Tribolium castaneum: one gene and its partner. The protein of the gene in region 1 interacts with the protein of each later gene in a pairwise test. Links are inferred from orthologs where the notes say so. Each region holds a gene or a part of one and is shown on either strand. Other genes may lie near its edges.

Region 1 (4,455 bases):
ATATTGGCCTTGCAATTTTATTAACTGTAACAAAGTGGTTTCTATCTGGCATAATTATTTATTAATTTTGAAGTTGGAAAGTTAATTTTGCTTAAACATCTCTCTTTAGAAAGAAATTGGTACAAAAATTCTGTATGTGTTGTTTGTTAAATAAACACCGATTAATAATAAGCCATTCATTTTAATTTTGCGGAAGTAAAGAGAAGTAGGTTTTCAGTGTTATAGGTAATCCCTGATTAATATTTCCAGTTTAAAGGCATTGGCAATTAATAAAAAAGATTTATCTTGAATGATAGTACTGAAGACGCTTATTACAGAAGTGAAAATCATTTCTCTGTACCTGTTTTCTAACTCAAGTTATTTCGTTTTAAGTTTGAAATTGTGACGTCATAACTGCCTATCGAGCATTTGGTTCAATATTAAGATCAAATGGATTTAGGCTTTTAAAAGACACTAACAGAAGACAAAATTTAAACAGAAATTAGTCGAAAAAATAGTTAATTTTTAATATTGTAGAAGATTCATCATTTTGTGGTATTTGTACTTGAAAATATATTTGTTTGATTCGTCGAAGATGGTATACAGGAGAAGAGAAATAAAACCATTAATTTCGTCGCGACGTTTCGATACCTTTGATGTATCTTCATTAGGCTACAATTTAGGCGTTTAGTTATTAGTTTAGTTATCCAACAATATAATAATTAAACGCCCAAATTGTAGCCTGATGAAGATACAATAAAGGTATCGAAACGTCGCTGTGGAAGATCTTTGAAAAATGTTCAAATATTTGTCAGATTTTTGGTGATTGAGAGTGAGCGTTCAGTGATAGAGTAATAAGAAGATTCTGTGATGAAAGGCGGGTGTGACGTCACGATTCCTTTCTTTCTAAGCGGTTATCTCGCTTGTTTTTCATCATAGAAAATTAAAAAAAAACTGCTGGTATAGAACGAGCGATATTTTCAGTTTACGTTAAAAAATAAAACATAATTAAGCTTAATTTATGTATTAAGTCAAATAAGAATAAATCATTATTAGTTCTGTGTACAAAATAACATATTACGAGGTATTAGAACCACTCTTATTATTTTAAAATATTTTTGCTTATGACTATTTTTTATAAAACTTCCTACGAAAATTATTACTAAAGACTGAATTTTCTCACAGTTATTGTTATTACTAAAATCAGATGCAAAAACTGAGACAATAAGCAAACTCACCATTTTCTTTTTGCAAAGCTAAATAAAATAACTATTTTATTCGGAAACTATGATTTGTAAAGCTCATGACTTTCAATTTTTTAACAAACAATGAAGCCACTTAAAAAAATGGTCGCTCAGAAGACTGTTACAACTTTCCAAAATATAGTTTTTCGGAAATATTTCAAAACTGACAGTTAAAAATTTTATTTTTTTTATGAAAAAAGCTTAAGAACTTTTAAATAATATAGTATCGTTAAATAATAGAGCATGATTGTTGTTTCCTTACCTTTAATAAGTGAGGCATGTAGATTGGTTTGCGTGGGCACATTCGTCCTGGCCCTGAAGTAATCCGGCCACGTATAGCTCATGTATGCCGCATCCAGCCATCCCGGATTCAACAAAAAGGGGTTGAATCCAGCGGGCATTCCGGGCAAGCCGTACCCATACTGGTAATCTGTAAAAAATCGTAAATTTTCGGTTAGTAAACATCGCTTTTGCAATCAACACGCGGGGGGTGTTTACACAACGGTTTTATTCTTGGCTTTATTCCTCTACTAAATTTACCCGAATCTGTAGCATATGCCCTATAAAACTGATTTAAATGTTTGAATTCGATTGCGATAAACATAAAAAGTTTTACGTTGTTGACTATACTTAATATGCCGACAAACCAAGAAAGTCGTTACTCGTTTTATTTGTTTACTTGAGCCATATGTTGATGGAAGGTTTTACGCGCTTATGGCTGTTTATTAAACACTGAATGTTTGTCACGGTTTCGTACTTACTTGACTTGGTCCGGGGCTCCCGGGGCCCGTCCACGGTCACCTTGATGGCCTTGTTGTAGGTGGCGATCTGGTAGTAGGGCTCCGAGCTGATGGTGATGGTGAGGGTGAAGCTCTTCCCGCGACCGCTTCGCCCCACGAACCGCAAATCGTTGAACTTGGCCACTTGGTTCTTCATCACCGCCGTGCAGTTCCGCAGCTCGGCGCAGTAGTTCTCGTCGTTGCCCGCCTTCAGGGTGACCGTGGTGCCGTCGCGGACCTCGTCGAGGGCCACCACCTTGAAGGCGATGGGCAGGCTCTTGTTGCTCCTCCAGTGCGAGGGCAGCACGCTGCAGAGCACGGCCGGGCTGCCCGTCTGCACCAGCTCGCCGTGGTACTCCTGGAGGGTCTCTTGCAGGCTGGCGTACATGTCCATGATCGACGGCTGCTGGGCGTTGATGGGCAAATGCATGGGTGCACGACACTCACGAACCACACACTCTATTTTTAAAAACGCTGCTGCACTTTTGGTCGCCGGTGTTGGACTGAATTTGAAACTTTTTCGTTTGTTCGGCCGATATTAGCACCCCCGCTCCTGCTGCTGAAGGAGGGTAGTTTTTATGGAGCATAAATAGGTACGGTGAATGAAAGAGAGCGATGTGATTTGTCGCCTTATAATGGGCGATAGAAAGGGACAGATGTGACCCTTGCTGGGGTCCGACTTTTATAAAACGGGAGACAGAGACGGATTCACGCCGATTTACACCAAAGGCAAAGGACAGACGACGTCTTGTTGACTGGAAGAAAGAGAAAAAATATGGGGGTTGCGTGCACGAAAGTGAGAGGTGCTACAGTTTTGCATTTGACAGAGATCAAAGTATCGCTTACATTTGTTGAAGTGAGACGTACAATTTGATACATTGAGTGAGCATAATGCAGGACCGGGCTCGCGCCCACCGCAACGTCCACACCACGGCAAACACTCCAAGTTTAACAAATTATTAAAGAAAAGACATAAGTTATGTATAAACTATAGAACATCTCCTAATACTAGAAAATATATAAAAAATATATTAAAACAAAAAATACAGCGTGTTTACATACAAAAATCGCAGAACACTGGTTTAAAAAAATACACAATTAAATATTTAATTTTTGGAAACCCTTGCAATAGTTGACAAACTAATCATTATCTCATTATTACTCATAAATTGCTGTTTTTCACAAACAATTTTGATGTGTTCTATCAAGAGACGGAATAAATGTGTGTCTAATCTGTCTAACTCAATAGTTAACTAACCAAAAACGAGGCTATTTTTTAAAGGGGTGAACAAACTCGAGAAGACTATTCAATTTGTCAAAGTTTGTAATCAAGTTAGTGTTGGAATATGCATTGTTGATTGCATTTTACAGGCGCAGGCCTCGTAAAATTACGTAAAACACCCTGTATATACATTTTCGAAAAATGTACATAGTGAGTATATAAAATTAAAAATCGCATATCTACAATGTTCCACTAATTTTTATATTCTAATATGAACGCCGTAAATTTAATCCCCAATTAAATGCGTGATTGGCTGATCACGTGAGCAAATCTAGCCAATCAGATGCTCTCACTCCCGAAATTAGTATTTTTTATTTTATTTTATTTTTCCAAATTATAAATTTGGTTGTAATTTTTTGTGTTATTCCGGGCCTGGGCGGCAAATGAGGTGATGAAGAAAGCTAGTTGGGTTTTGTTGAGGTGTAACCGGGATAGAGTGCGAGAGACGGGCGATGCGCTTCTGTTTGTGCGAGAGGGAGACAGTTTCGGTTAGGTGACGTTGGTAGGAGTGAGACGCTATATAGCCAATCCCAGACGTGGTTTTTGAGGCCTAGCCGTGGTTAGTCCCTCCCCTGACATGCCACACACCAAGCCACCCCCTCATCCCCACTCCACTCATCTACTTTCAGCTGTTTTCAGACGCAAGCGACTAGATTCCAGACGACGTTGTGAGCGTATTGTTTGGCGTTTGCTCGCAGGATAAGACGCCAAATGTGCCGATTTCTCCACTGATGCGAATTTGTTTTTTTGGTAGGGTTTATGGGAGGGGGGTTAATCGATAGGGAGCGGATTTATTTGAATAAAGCGGGGGGTGAGTGTTTTTTATGGGGAAGATTTCGGAGTAAAACACCCTTAATACACGCTTACTAATAAACGACATGCTGCAATCCGAACCGGCGGGGCATAAATCAATGCCTCATCTAAAGCAACGCTTGCACATGACGGGGGTTAATGTTTTACACGCGTGTTATTGCGCTTCATATTGAATTTTTGCGATTCTTCGAGGGAGCTGTTTAAGGAACGGGGAACACTGAGGTGCGAAATGGGCAAAAATAAATTAGGGGAAAGTGAGAAGACAATAAAAGCTATTTTCAGAATGGTTTGTTTTTACCTTGGATTTCACGTTTATGATGTGTAATTAATTCGACTGAAGCATAAAAATTTAAACACT
Region 2 (3,655 bases), on another chromosome or scaffold:
TCGACGCTCGCACTCTAAAGATTTCACTTGCATTATTCTAGAAAACGAAACACCGACATTTGTCCAACAAAATCCAAAAAACCGCTGGCGTGTGATGTGAAATGAGTTACTTACCTTCTTTCCGATTCACGGTCAAATAAAAACGAGCAAACAAAAATGAAACAAAATGGATGAAAAATCCGTTTATTTACATATTGCATTCATAAGAATCGGGTAACTAAAATTACGTCAACATTCAACGATAAATATTTACAAAAATAAAGGTAAAAAAGACAGATTAAACGAAAAATTAATCATGCCAAGTATCACTAAACCTAATACAGCTTCATGTAGTTCCTCTGGTGGAGGGCGCCCCCGACACGTACCTCTAGGTCTTGCTCAGGCCGGTCCTGCTGCCTGTACCCCCTCTGCTTGTCCTCGAACTCCCGCAGCCTCTGGTTGTACCTCTCGATCTGCTCCCGCAGGAGGGCGTCCTCCTGAGCGGCCCGCTCCTCGCAGTACTCCAGGCAGCCGACGCCGTCGAGGCGCTCCAGGTCCAGCCAACCCCGCCATCTCACGCAGACGCCGTTCATGATGAACGAGGACTTGATGTGCACCTGAAAGCAAGCGAAAGCTCCGTTAATTTATTATAAAATTGCAAAAATTGAATCGGCCCGTTGCTAATGGAATGAATCGATTCCCGCCCTCTCGGCGGGGGCAAAGGGTGCGCTTTGTCCGAAAGGCGTGCGAAAATTATGTCGTTATGAGTTTTTTCGGCGACATCTGTAACTTTATTTTTTTCTTTGAGAGCGAGGAAGGGTGCGCTCGAATAACCCCGCGGGAGGCATTTGTACCTTTGACTGTTTGTTATTATTCGAGTTGTCAGAATTAATAATGACGTTTTGAGAGGGGTGATAGGGATTTTTTCGAGATTAGGTGGATTTTCACCGAGGGCAATTTACGCAGATGGCGTGGACAGACCATTGGTCAGAAGTGGCCGTGATTTATTTCGGAAACGCCCAGTGTTTCAGGGGCGGCCAGGAACCGGCCCCGAAGGGGTGGACGCACCCAACGGATTCTATTGTCGAAAAGGTGCTGGTCTGGCGACCTTTTGCATAACGGTGGCATGAGAGAGACCAATAAAGTCAACGATTTACGAAGCGAGAACAAAAAATAATAATAAGAAAAGTAAAATCTAAAATGAATCAATAAACAAACCCAATTTCTTAAAAATTATCTTATTTTGTGTTAGAAACTTATAGATTGTTCGAATTTTCCTGCAAAAAAATTCATTTATGCTCAAAAATAAAACTGTTTCGCAAAATTTAGTTTTGTTCTGAGCGAGAAAAAAAATTACAAAAAACCTGGAATTAATTAATTTGAATTCTTTTTTTTGCCTTTTTAAAATAGGTAAGCAAAATAGACTCATTGGTTGACTAATTACTTTTTGGCGAATTATCCGTAGGATGTTTACGAATTTTGCAGAAAGCAAAAGTTAAAGGACTTTCGCCTGTAACCTACGATCGCCGCTTAAGGCTTTAATAAATTTTTGTTTTTTTTTTAAATAATGTGTTAATTATTGGTTGGTTTTTAGAGGAAGTATGTTTTTGAAAATTATTTGTTTTTCTTTATTTTTCAGAAAACAAAGCTTATCAAAAAGGTCTTCATTTAGAAAAAAACAGTAAACTGTTTCGTCACTAACTCGCTTTAAAGACAATTGTCTTAGCGAATCATCTTAATAATTTTTCTGAGGAAACACAGCATTTGCTTATCAAAAGGACTATCGATTGTAAACTATGCAAACATTTCTTGGAACTTTTTTTTTTTCTTTGCCACAAAATATTTTGTCCTTGGCTCATTTTTAGACGATTTATTTTCTTATCGAATCGTTCGTACAATTTTTATGATTTAGCAGAAAACAAAGCTTAGCAAAAGAATCATCGACTGTGAAACCGATAATGACTTCTTAGGGCTTTAATAATTTCTTTGTTTTTTCAAAATATTTTGTCATTGACCCATTCTGTGTCGAATTATTTTTTGGTGAATCATTTTCCTGGTGAACAATTTTCCTAATTTTTGCAGATATCAAAGCTTATCCAACGGGCCTTCGATTGCAAAAAAATAGTAAACCAGCAATAATTTGTTACGGTTTTAATATAATTTTTTATTTTTTTTTTAATATTTTGTTTCTATCTAGTTCCAATTATTTTTTAGGGAATTATCCGAAGAATTCTGTTTTTTTGCAGAAAATAACAAAAGGTCATCGAATGTGAAATATACAATTATTTCTTGCGACTTTAATATTTATTTGGTTTTCTCAAAATATTGTGTCGTTAGTACGCATTAGTTAGTTTTCAGAAGAATTATTTTGTTCTGTTGAATCATTCGTGAGACTTTTCAGACTTTTGTAGAAAGCAAAGATTATCTAAACGGCCTTCGATCTCAAAAAAATAGTGAACCGGCAATTGTTATTTAAAGTTTTAATAATTTTCGCTATTTTTTTTAGTTTTCACCAAATACTACTTTATTTTTTTCTTATTTTTCTTAGCGAATTTTCCATATAAGTCTCATGATTTTTGTAGAAAACAAAGCTTATCAAAGAGATCGTCGACTGTGAAATCGACAATGACATCTTAGGGTTTTAGTAATTTCTTTGTTTTCTGAAAATAAATATTTTGTCATTGGCCTATTCTTTGTCGAATAATTTTTTTGGTGAACCATCTGTACAATTTTTGCAGATAGCAAAGCTTATCTAACGGGCCTTCGATTGTAAAAAATAGTGAACCAGCAATTGCTATTTAGAGTTTTAATAATTTTCGATTTTTTTAGTCTTCACAAAATACTACTTTATTTTTGTCTTGACTTTATTTTTCTTAGCAAATTATCCATAGAATTCTCATGATTTTTGCAGAAAACAAAGCTTATCAAAAAAACCTTCGATTGTGAAACCGACAATCACTTCTTACGGCTTAATACATTTTTTTGATTTTTTCTAAATATTTTGCCATTAGCTCATTTTTGTCGAATTATTTTTTGGCGAACCATCCGTACCTACAATTTTTCTGAATTTTGCAGAAAACAAAGGACCTTCAACTGCAAAAAAAACAGTAAACCGGCAATAATCTAGTAAGAACGTAATAATTTTTTAACTTTTTCAAAATTTCTGTACAATTTTTTTCTGATTTTGGCAGAAAGCTTAACTAATTAGTCAAAGTTACGTTATTTTTGTCTTTTTCGGAGCATTTTAACACCAAAACCTCAAGTCTGATTATTTCAAACAGGCCAAAGGACGAAATGTTTGGCCTTTTTCGCAAATTTAGCTTGTTTTTGAACTTATTTTTGCAAAGTATCGTCATAAATACCCAAATTAGATCTCAACTAACGATCTATTGGCCTATTTAGATTGATAGTTTTCTGATAAAAAAATTGATAAAACGAAAAATTTTTTTATACTTGGGATATTTTTAAAAATAAAAACTTTTAGCTGCAATTCCAAAAACTAAGACTTGAGTAATTTCTGGAACTGAAACACATTATCATTGAGTTAGAATTACAAAATAAATAAATCTTCAAGCAAGGAAGTCAAGGCAATTTTTCGTCGTAAACTGTTAAAATTTATGAAATGCTGCGAGTTGAAGTGACATGATTGTTCTTAGTCATAAAAGCGTCCATAAAC

What was found. The genes of interacting proteins can lie anywhere in the genome.
Region 2: the proteins of run (region 1) and protein big brother interact in a two-hybrid assay, tested with the Drosophila melanogaster proteins (2 studies listed by BioGRID). The link is inferred for Tribolium castaneum from reciprocal best matches to the Drosophila melanogaster genes run and Bgb.

Annotation. Positions count from the first base shown.
Region 1 is NC_087399.1:3,522,769-3,527,223, forward strand, and holds the start of run (segmentation protein Runt), read right to left. Parts: upstream 2,946-4,455; 5' UTR 2,433-2,945; coding exon 1,985-2,432; intron 1,654-1,984; coding exon 1,486-1,653; intron 1-1,485. UniProt on the Drosophila melanogaster protein: Plays a pivotal role in regulating the expression of other pair-rule genes such as eve, ftz, and h.
Region 2 is NC_087398.1:9,985,232-9,988,886, reverse strand, and holds part of protein big brother, read right to left. Parts: intron 597-3,655; coding exon 366-596; intron 1-365. UniProt on the Drosophila melanogaster protein: Regulates the DNA-binding properties of Runt.